3 linked regions of the Struthio camelus genome follow. The protein of the gene in region 1 interacts with the protein of each later gene in a pairwise test. Links are inferred from orthologs where the notes say so. Each region holds a gene or a part of one and is shown on either strand. Other genes may lie near its edges. The genes, in order: KPNA2, NECAB2 and NUP50.

The links.
Region 2: the proteins of KPNA2 (region 1) and NECAB2 interact in binary tests that used the Homo sapiens proteins (3 or more experiments, as listed by UniProt). The two-hybrid records come from large-scale screens. The link is inferred for Struthio camelus from reciprocal best matches to the Homo sapiens genes KPNA2 and NECAB2.
Region 3: the proteins of KPNA2 (region 1) and NUP50 interact in binary tests that used the Homo sapiens proteins (3 or more experiments, as listed by UniProt). The two-hybrid records come from large-scale screens. The link is inferred for Struthio camelus from reciprocal best matches to the Homo sapiens genes KPNA2 and NUP50.

What each region holds. Positions count from the first base shown.
Region 1 is NC_090960.1:4,560,962-4,564,708, forward strand, and holds the start of KPNA2 (importin subunit alpha-1), read left to right. Parts: upstream 1-857; 5' UTR 858-1,086; exon of another isoform or gene 1,087-1,134; intron 1,135-1,778; 5' UTR 1,779-1,825; coding exon 1,826-1,897; intron 1,898-1,996; coding exon 1,997-2,134; intron 2,135-2,443; coding exon 2,444-2,532; intron 2,533-3,348; coding exon 3,349-3,617; intron 3,618-3,747.
Region 2 is NC_090951.1:21,308,602-21,312,348, reverse strand, and holds the start of NECAB2 (N-terminal EF-hand calcium-binding protein 2), read right to left. Parts: upstream 2,749-3,747; 5' UTR 2,716-2,748; coding exon 2,527-2,715; intron 1-2,526. UniProt on the Homo sapiens protein: May act as a signaling scaffold protein that senses intracellular calcium.
Region 3 is NC_090942.1:79,514,583-79,518,329, reverse strand, and holds the start of NUP50 (nuclear pore complex protein Nup50), read right to left. Parts: upstream 2,812-3,747; 5' UTR 2,797-2,811; coding exon 2,792-2,796; intron 2,736-2,791; exon of another isoform or gene 2,652-2,735; intron 2,363-2,651; coding exon 2,284-2,362; intron 1,054-2,283; coding exon 970-1,053; intron 1-969. UniProt on the Homo sapiens protein: Component of the nuclear pore complex that has a direct role in nuclear protein import. Actively displaces NLSs from importin-alpha, and facilitates disassembly of the importin-alpha:beta-cargo complex and importin recycling.

The sequences.
Region 1 (3,747 bases):
ACAAGGGTCAGAACAGTAAGACACAATCACTGATAATTACTCTTGCTCTGTGTACATCTTTGTTAACTACTGTGTTCATCTACAGATCAGTATAAAAAGTTGTAATGGCTTAACCCACAAAAGTTGTATCAGTATGCGTCTCTGACACTTCTCTACCTTGAATTGTACGTTATGGGTAAAAAATGTGCTTCAGCAGCTGGCGGGGTCATGTTTTTTCATCTAGGCTTTTTGGTTTGAAGTACGCCTACAGTAAAACAGGATGTTTTGCTTTTGTAACCCATCCCTTGTGAATAGCATAAACCTATCTGAAACAATACCAAATCTGTTGATTTTCTGGAAATGCTACAAGGGCATGCTTTTTATTGTTTGATATGATTTAATTTTGATCTGTAATGATTGCTGTTGAATTACTTTAAATTGCAGCATCACATGCCTGGTGGTTCCAGGAGGTCGAGTGGAGTCTAACTTGGCTGAAGTAAAAGACATCAGGGGGAGTCTTACAAAAAGCCCTAAGTGACCTAAGGTTCATAATGTAGAAATTAGGCTGTATATAAGGAACTGGGGTATCACTGCTGCTAACTGCTCAGATTGAGGGTTTCGAGAGCGAAAAGCTCCCTGCTGTAGCCCCATCCAGATGTGCAATAACCCCCCCACCCGCCATCCCACTGCCCCCCCCGCCAGGCCCTAGGAAACTACAAATCCCATCATGCCACGCGTCACCTTCCTGGGACACCGAGGCCCCAGTGCAGTTGTCTCCCCCGGGCTCTGGCCCGGGCGGTGTCGCGTCGAATGCTGGGAGTTGTAGTGCTGGGACGGTGACGGGGGGGGGGGGTCTTCGAAGCACGTGACGTCTGGCCCTCCCTTCCGGGAGCACGGCGGAGAGTCGCTCCTCTCCATCGCGAGACGAGCCGGATTTCAAACTGGCCAATCAGAACGTTGCTATGGCTCGAACGGGCCAATGGCAGGGCGAGGGCGCGGGAAATTTAAATCCCGCCTGGCAGAGGCTCGGGGTAGTGGCAGCGTGTTCGCAGGCTCGGAGCGGCGCTGTGGCAGCGGGGCGGCTGGTGCGCTGAGTCCGCGGCGGAGGTGCGGAGCGTGCGCTGGTCTCTCGGAGGGGCCGGGGCTCCCTCGGCGGTAGGGCAGCCCGGCAGTCCCCTCCCTCTGGGGCTCTGCGGTGGGGTACCGCTGCCCGGAGCGAGGCTGACGGGGTTGGCGCCTGCTGGAGCGGGCTGCGAGCTCTGGCTGAGCTGCGGCTGACGTGAAGCCAGCCCTCCTGCAGCGGGTCACCTCGGGGCTGGCCAAGGCAGAGGCCGGCCTCGTTACTAGCACAGCCGCTATTGCGTGTTGCTGACCTAAGGGCATGGCAAGCCTGGTGGCAGGGGCCTTGTCGGTGCTGCCCTCGTCAGAGGGTTTGGAGGGGTTTTGCATGTGTGCTATGGGCTGGACCTAGTCAAAATAGCATTTAAAATGTATATGTGCCTTTTATGGGGAGGAAGGCCTATCTTAGTCCTAGAAAAAATGACTCTGATAACATTTGTGGGTGAAAGTGTCTTAAAAGAATGTGTTTCTACTGATTTTGTCTTAATGCTGTTGCTGTGGCAACCTTTGGCCTTTTTGAAAAGGCAGCTGTTATGTTGCCATTGTTTTCAAGTCAAAGGGTGGCCATCTGATATGGACAAGCATCTCTTGTTTTGAAGTAATAGTCCAAGTTCTTAAGTTTTTGACTTAAACTTTTGTGGTATAAGCTTTAAGGGTTTACCCTTTGCTTCTTTTTTTAGGCTAGTTTCTTTTATCTACTTCTCTTGAAGCCTGACTAATAAGCAAGATGTCTACTAATGAGAATGCCAATACAGCTGCTCGCTTGAACAGGTTCAAGAACAAGGGAAAGGACACCACAGTGAGTATTTTGATGCAACAAATATTTTAGTAGCCATTGTCTCTCTAAAGAGCCTTTCTACTTGTAAAAGCCATGAACTAATCAATGCATGTCCTCCAGGAAATGAGAAGGCGGCGTATTGAAGTCAATGTAGAGCTGAGAAAAGCTAAGAAAGATGACCAGATGCTTAAAAGAAGAAATGTTAGCACTTTACCAGATGATGCGACTTCCCCCCTTCAGGAAAATAGGAATAATCAAGTAAGTAGGTACCTAACTGCAGTGACCCATATTGTAGTTCCCTTCCTCAAGTGGCTTGTTAATGTTTGTGATACTTGTGTTCCCCTGTTAAAACGCTTTAAAAGATACTTCAGGCAGTTGTGTTTAAGCCCACTGTAATACTGGTGTGAAACACTTCAAAAATGCTTTCTGTAGTTCAAATGTAGATAAAGCAATAGCTGATGAGGGTTTGGAGATCATGCAGTGATGCAACTTATTTTCTACAACTGCTTGCTCTATTAAGTGGCAGTCTTCTCATAGTATTGTATACTGTAACTATTTCTCGTACAGGTTTCAGCACACTGGTCAGTTGAAGAAATAGTCAAAGGAGTTAATAGTAATAATACAGAGCTTCAGCTACAGGCTACTCAAGCTGCCAGGTAAGGAATTTAGAGGTAACTGATTCACCTGTGCAGGCCAGTAACTGGATAAGGTAAAAGGATTAGCTAATGAACCTAAGCCTCTGCCTGTGGCAGCAACTGTGGCTCTCTTGATTAAGGCATTTATTGAAATATAGTTTAGTAAACTTTAAATACAGTGTTTTGATAAGTTTCATTTGGTCCCATGCATGTTTTTAACAAAACCATGTGGGTTATGGGTTTTTAAAGAGCCTGACCACTTCACCAGGAAGTAGTAATTGATTTCAGGTGGCTTTGAGGCAGAAAAATAAGCGGTAGGCCATTTCAGATTTGTAGAGTAATAATAAAGTTACTTTATTCTGATAAAAAGATCTTTAAGCTGTCCACATCTGACTATGATATGATGTTTGCTTGCAGTGATCTACCTTGGAATAAAGTACACACAAAACTTAGTATGCTTAGAACTCCAGTCATTATGATCTAGAAAGCAACGTTGCTTCTGGTAATCATTACCCTACTGTCTGCTGAGACACCTCTAGCAGTTCAGATATGTTATGCCTCTTGTAGCTCTGTTTTATTTCAGAGCCTGGACAGAACCTCTCAAAGTGAAGACATGGCAGAAGCAATCTTAACGAGAAGTTTTAGATGCTGGTGTTGAGCTTGTTTGTAGCTTTGCTAAATTTCCCCTTCAGGTCTTGTTGCTTTGCCTTCTCTGAATACCTTGAAATCTTTTTTTTTTTTTTTTTTTTCAACATAGGTCTCTTTAGACTGACTAGATAGAATCTGTGTAGATCTCTGCAGGTGAAAATAACGCTTCCTGTTTGTCTTCCTCCTTAGGAAACTCCTCTCAAGAGAGAAGCAGCCCCCCATAGACAATATAATTCGTGCTGGTTTGATTCCAAAGTTTGTCTCCTTCTTGGGGAGAGCGGACTGTAGCCCTATTCAGTTTGAATCTGCTTGGGCGCTTACCAACATTGCTTCTGGCACATCAGAACAAACAAAGGCAGTAGTAGATGGTGGGGCTATTCCAGCCTTTATTTCACTGCTGGCCTCTCCCCATACTCACATCAGTGAACAGGCTGTGTGGGCTTTAGGAAACATTGCAGGTATGTCAATATGCTGCAAACTTCTTTTTGGACCTATTCTGTTGTTAGAAATAGGAGTACATTACTATTAGCAGGTTGTGGTGTAGCATGCTGAGCTCTTTGGAACTCTTGCCTTAATGTCTTGTGATCC
Region 2 (3,747 bases), on another chromosome or scaffold:
GGAAACGCAGACTGACGTTGTCAAGATTGCCAGAGGGAAACACCCCCCACCGCTGCTTGCCCTACCGCCACCAGCTATAACCCCCAATAACTTTACTTGCTGCCTATTTTAGGGAGTGCTTAGTACTTAGGTGTCTTCTCCATCAGTTTATTACTTGAGGTTTCAAAAAGTTAGTCTGCAATTTCAGCTGTTTTTACACACCGAATCCCATGATTGAGCTGCGCTAATAAACATTACTCAGTTTTTTCCTCTTTTTCTAATCCTTTACCTAAAAGGACACAAGCACAAAGAAGAAAAACACTGAAAAAAATAGCCTTAAGCTCAGTTTCATCCTCCAGGCAGCAGCATGCACGTGGATGGTAGACACCGTCTAACTCCCGGTCCCGTTTCACTCTTCCTCAGCCCTCGGTTTTGCTACACAACAGCCACCGGTTTGCTCCGCTGGTGGGAGAGCGCAGGGTAGGAGACCTGCTACCAACCCGTCAGTCAGGCTCTGCCTCTCCCCCTTTCCCTGCTCCGTGTCCGCACCGCGCTCCTGTCCCAGGGCGCCCCGATCAAGGCTGACACCACGCACAGTGCGGTCCCTCCACCTAAAGGACCTGAAGGAGTTGGACGGGAAAATGCGCTTGAATCCTCAGGGGTGAGAACGCGAGTCTCGATACCTTCCTGTTAATGCGTGAAAGTTCACCTAAATGCACGCTCCCCCCCGCTGATAAATTCTTTGCATTAAAGGCTGGTCTCATAGTGCACATGAAGAGCCCGGTATAATAAAGCCGTGGCTTAGATTTTCTATTATAACTAGAGAGAAGAAAGGAAGAAGAGAGAAGCAAGTTTTCAGGGGAAAGAAACCCCAAACCTCACATTTCCAACATCTATTTCTACTTTCAGCAGGTCGGAAAGGGCTCTAAGTCCCATCGTAGAAGGGGAAAAGGGTCGGGAGCTGCACACCCAGATCCATTGCATTTCCCAATGGGGAAGAAAATTCTGAAAGTTCGCTGTTCATTTTCTTAGCTCAAACCTCAAAGAAGGAAAAAAAAAATCCTTTTAAAGAAGGTAAAGTTGAGCAGATAAGATACTGTCCTGGTAGAAAGAACAACCCTAACTCACAAAGTTTTTGAATGAGCCAAATTGTTGACTTCCAATTGTATTTATGCTCTCAAGACAGACACCAGCAATCTTAGGGCAGGCTGCTGTTAGACTACATGAAAACGCAGGGGAAAACAAAAACCCAAAGAAAGAGCAAAGTTAACTTAAAAACCATAAGTGCAATCGTTACTTTTGTCTTTTTCGTTGCTCCATCAAGCACCATTTCTTTACTGCCCGCAGCAGCCTGCCTGCCGGTCCCGTTGCGCAGGGCACGGCCACCCAAGGGTCGCTCTGCTCTCCAAGCTGCTTTTGGCAGCTCGATAAGACGCAGCCAGACCAGTTCATCTGACGCACCGTAACGCCTGTGAGTCCAGGACTGTGAGTTTTGGACTCCCCAGCCCATCTCTGCCAATGCCAACCACAGAAAGTGCCACACTTCAGCAGGCTGTTTAGAAAACGCAAGGGTTTGCCTGCAAGAGATACTGTTGCCTAATGCTCGAGCAGGAGGAAGAGAGTGCGAGTTATCCTTTACTACAACCAACACCATCAGTAGCTTATTTTTGAATTCACTACATCGCTTTTTTTTTTTTTAAGCTAGAAGATTGCAAAACGGAGGATGTGCATGTTTAACTATTAGATGCTACTGACAGAAAGACTATGGAATTGCATCATGTGCACTCCGGTTTATCCCAGCCCATTCTCCTAATTCCACGTAAGGACAAATAGCCTCGTTAGCCCCCTGATTTGAGAGGTCTATGAATAACCACAGCTGAGGAACCAAGTGCACCCCCGCCCGTCCCCCAAACCCGAGTAAGGGATCCCCCAATCTGATGCGTTCACAGGCATCCGGGACTGCGTTGCCTGCCTCCCCCGACACGGTCCCCAGAGCCGCAGCCCCCCCAGGGGGCCGGGGTCCTAGATCTGGGTGCGCTCCCACAGCCAGCTGCTGTGGGGTGCAGGACCGGAGGCAATGCAGGACCCGGGTGCACCGTGGTGCCCAGCCAGCCCGGGGGATCCCGGCGTGTAAGACCAGCGAGGGGAGGGTGCAGGAACAAGACCCAGGGTGCATCCCCATTCCCAGGCTGCCTGAGCAACACCAGGTGGGGGCAGGACCAGTGTGCACCCCCCCCCCCCCCCCGCCCCGTGCCTAGCCGGTCCGCGGACACGCAGGACCTGGAAAACGGGATGCAGGGCTCGGAGCGCACCTCCATCTCCAGCCTGTCTGGGGGGATGGAGGGCTCGGGGAGGGCGCACCCCTACGCGACGCAGCACCCGAGGTGCACCGCCAGCGGGACGCAGCACGGGGGGAAGCCCCACGCCCGGCCAGCAGCACCTGGGAAGCACCCCCATCCGCAGCCGGCCCGGAGCGGGGCGGGGGACGGGACACGCAGGACCCGGGCGGCCGCCCGCCTCGGCGCAGCCGGCGCGGGGCTCACTCACATCGAGGATGACCGAGGTGCCCTTCCTCTGCGCGGCGGCCGGCTGCGGCAGCTGGCGCTCGGCGCCCTTGTCGCTCATCTTGGCGGCGACCCAGCGGAGCAGCCCGTCGAGCCCGCGCGGCGGCGGCGGCGCCTTGCGCAGCAGCCTGTGCACGCCGGCCCGGCAGTAGCGCGCTGCCTGCTCGCACATCGCTCAGCCCGGCCTCATGCCGGAGCCGGGGACTCCCCCCCCCCCTCCTCCTCCTCCTCCTCCTCCGCCTCCTCCTCTTGGCCACGCCGCCCCGACGGCGGGCGGCGGGCGGGCACCCCCGGGGCACTCCTGGGCCCCCTCTAGGCGTGCCCCAAGGACGGGTTGGTTTTTTTTTTTTTTTTTTGGGGGGGGGGGGATGGATGAAATCGTTTCACGTGCTCTGTGTGTGCCCCCCCCCCCCCCCACCCTGCACCCGCAGACGGGGTGCCTGCTTCGGGTTTAGATCCAAAAATGCCCCGAAGCTTCAAAACTGAGAGCCTGCTGCAAAAAATATAAATTAAAAAAAAAAAAGGGGGGGGGGAATGGGGCTGGCTTGGTTTGGAGAGCTCTCCAATTTCTTGTTCAGTTGCTATTAAGAGTGCAAGCGAGCATTACAGCTGAATCCAGTGACCTCTTTTATAGCACATTAATGCAGCGCTTGAAACCTGTTTGCCAGGTGAAGCTGGCCCGTGCCAGGCACAAACGCAGCACGCTCGCCAGACCCTCTCCGGGCTGCTCCCGGGGCCCCTGCGAGCAGGGGGGCCAGCGAGCCCGGCGCTCCTCCGGGAAACACCATCGGCAGTTTCCCGCACCGAGCTCCGCGCCCCGTCTCCCAAGAGGTACGGCATCGTTGCTCCGAAAGGCCTGATCCACCACGGCCTAAGAGAGAAAGCCAGCAACAAATGACTTGTTAGAAGGTATATACCAGATTGTGCCCCCTCATGTCCCGAATTACTCCACTCTTTTTGGCACTTAATCCTCAGACTATTCATATGCTTCTTTCCCCTTTAGACGTCCCTCTGCTAAATGGCTAATTCAGACTATGATTCACACACAGGCTAGGATTGCTCTATGCTTAAGTTACTTAGGACAATTTACTGACTAAATTTATAAGTGAGGTTCTTCTGTGAACTTTCCACGTGCTATGAAAATTCGTTATGCAGCTTGGAAGTTTGGAGCTACTTCGGTGTTGTCAAAATTATTTCTTACTAA
Region 3 (3,747 bases), on another chromosome or scaffold:
ATTTTTGCGTGACATAGTCAGTTTCATCGGCATCTTCTTTCCAATACAGTCCTTTCATCAATTACATCCTCTACCACATCTGTGCCTAGAACTATTATGGACAAAAGTCTGACGGGACAGCTTCCTCCTTTCTATTGCTTGGACAGCAGTAGGAAAATCCAGAGCACAGGAGGAAGCTATCCTGTCCTGAACTGTGTTTAGTCCCATGCTATCCAAAAGCAATGTGGATGACAGGTAAAATTTTCTGTCCCATTTCTAACATGGGGCATGCACTGTTGCCCTCCAAGAGTGTTTCATATAAAGGTAGCTGTGACAATGCAGTTGTCAGAGATTTTTCAAAGGACTACAATTTGATTAGATTTAGTTAACGCTTTCACACAGGCACCACACAGTAAACTTGTAACGAAGGACATCTTCCTCTCAATTTTCAGTCTGTATTGCAAAGAGTAGGTGGCACTAAAGCTCTTCCAAGGGGGGAAAAAAATAAGTAGAAGAAATCTTAACAAAAGACAACACCTTTTTCATTCTCAGAGCAACTTAGTATTTTGGCTTTTATTTATTTAACATCTGCCTGGGACATCCCCCCAGTCCCCATCCCTTCAGTATGGATAATTTCATTAACTTTTGATTTCCAGGCTTCCGTCTCTGCAAAGATTGAAACTGGAGCAGTTCAAACACTACTTTCCCCATTTGTAGAAGAGATCATGTCTAAAACATTCTCTATTTATACTTCAAAGAACACAGATCTCTTTTGGTCCCCAAAATACTAGTATTATCCTTTTCTTATTCAAGTCTTATTCTTGCTATAGGAACAATAACTGAAAAATAATTTGCAATATATAAGAGCTGGCTTATAAATGGTAGAGCTATACAGTATTAAGTTACAAGTGCAAATAAGTAAAAAACTTGAACACAGATGTCTTATTTTACAACTAAGTCAGGCTACAACACTGTTCAGTGATTAATTACCTCTGATCCAACATTTCGGCGCTTAGCTTTTTTAATAGCTCTGTTCTTCAGCACTTCTTCACTAGCTACTGAGAAAGTTCCCACCTTTGAAAACAAGTTATGGAATCATTAGTGGAATTCTCAGAATATATAAAGTCAACATAGTCAGAAGAAATAGCAGAGATCAACTTTTAAACACAATTGTAACACTTCTCTGTAACAAAGAAGGTGAGGCAAAAAATGCAGCTATACTGTCTTCTAGTACCGTGATTAGCTGGTCAGGTATTTGGATGATTAGTTGAAACTTGACAGCTTTGACAGCTGTCTTCCCTACCTTGCATTAAATTTACCTGCACACAAGACTGCAATCTCAGTTTTATCAAGACAAATTAATTGAAAATTTCTGCTTTTTCAAACAAAGCTGTAAAAAAATCTTTGCTGAAAGGAATCTGTCAATATCGCACTGCTGCAATCAAGCTTCAGTTTAGAGAAGCTATACTGAAATGTATGGTCAAAATCCATCTCCTACAGGCTGCTGTAATTAAATGTTAGCAAAGGCAGCTAAAGACCAATTACTACCCCAGAATAAATGGGGAAATTAAGTTTTCTTATATTCACATTTCTAGAAGAGTATGGACAGTTTCGTTTCTCACATTTTATAGGCTTAAACATACAACATTTTTAGTGGCACAGAAGCTAGCATAGTTTGTTTAGAGATGACACACAAGCCATAAATACATACAGGACACTAAATACGAAAGTCCGTTTTTACAACCAGATGAACCGTATCATTTCACTGTTTGCTTAATTCCTCTGGCAGTGTGGGGACATTCAACTAAGCACTCCAAATTAACATATTTTTGAAATTAACTATTACTGACCTATTTAAAAAAGCCAGGAGACATGAAGAAAATTTATTTAGACCGTATGCCAGTGAACCTTAGAGTCAACTACCTCAAGAAATCAAAAAAAACACTTTTCTTGTTAACTCAATAAATATTTTAAAGGAATTTCAACCACACATTTGAAGAGTTAAAAAGCACTGTGCATTCTAATGAGTCTGGGTTTCCCTTTAGAAATGTAAACTTCCTCTCCTCTAAGCTGCTGATGTAATTTTAAATAGTTAAAAACTGCTTTGCCATATACTTCATATACTTTGCAAATACTGGAAGCTTTTAAAAAATACACTGATTTATGTAAAGCCATCTTTAATTGCTACCCTTGTAACCAGTTTATCTTATGGCTGAAATCTATCGTAAAACACCACATATAACTAACTACCCTATTACCTTGTCTGAGGGGTAGGGGGTGGAAAAGCATGCAAGTATATTTTACCTCCTCAGCTTCATCTTCCTGATCCCAGTTTCTGTCGGTCAGTTCTTTTTCTGCAATTCTCTTTGCCATTTTTCCAAACCTGTGTGGAAAAATAATCAAAAGAGCACAGACTCAATTGTACAACAGTGAAATTCAAAGCCACAGTGATCTACAACTTGTATTATCCAGAATAAGTAATGGGAATCAGAGTTCATACAGAAAGAAGTGGGTCAAAATTAGAAAGACAGCTGAAAAATCAAGCATTTTTAACAATACTAACAACATATGTTGCAACAACAATCAACAGCATGTGAAATTGGGGAAGCTGTGCTGTTTAGTCATATTTGACACTAAATTTAAGCAACAGTAGAAGCAGGCAGTTCAATTACAGGATAAGTTTTCTTCAGCAGCAAAAGTGGCTAGAGAAATTCTTTTCAGTCCCACAGCTCATAACCTCATCACCAATTACTGGGAAGGGCTGCAAGAAAAATCAGATAAGATGATCTGGTTAAAAGACTCTATACCTCACCTCATCTTGCTTCAGGATACCTATGTAAGCAGGAATAGTCTTGCAAGAGAAATGTAATTTGCTCTATAACATCAAAAATAACGACCATGGGGACCCACTGAAGCAGCTGGGCAGAGAACTTACTTTGAGTAAGAATGAAAACAATGCTGTAATTCAAAAAACAAGATTGCTAGACTATTACTAATTAAAAAGTTGAGAGATTCCAATATAAATAAATGACGACTTTTTTTTCCAAGGGACACCCAAAGTTTATCATGGATTTTAGAGCAATTAGTTCCAGCAGCCAATCACTATTTTGCTGCTTCTCTCTGCAATGTAGAGGGGGGAAAAAAACAAACAAACAAACCAACAAACCCACGGCACACCACTTTGAAGAAAGAATGCCTGTAGTACTTTTAACTTCTGACTTCCAATTTAGTAAAGTATAACTCATCAGCTGTATATGAAAACAAACACTGAATCCAGCTAGACTATTTCACATCTGAAAAACACCCAGCAAGTACTCACGCTGCTCTCAAATTCTATACCGAAAGAAGCATCTGGCTAACAGCGACTACAACATCTGACATAACCATGAAAACTTTTCAGAAAAAAGGAAGTTGTTTTTGTAAAACTTTAAAGTCACACAAGTGCAAGAATTAAAATTCCTTAAAAAAACAAAAATAAGAAAAACTCACACACTGCTATAATTCAAACCTGGTCAGAAAAAACATTCCACAAATATTAATTCACAGTCAGAGCTGAAAGCGATGATAATACTTGATTTCAGAACTTATCCCATCTAGCAAATGAATTTTTAAACAGAACACTAAATATCACTGCACAACACTCTCACAGAGATCACAAGTCAAATACAGGAATTTTGGTCCAATACATTTAAAGGGAAATCAATAAGATCTTTTTGAAATACAATCCATTTCATTATCTGATAAAAGACTATTTTGTGCAAACACTTT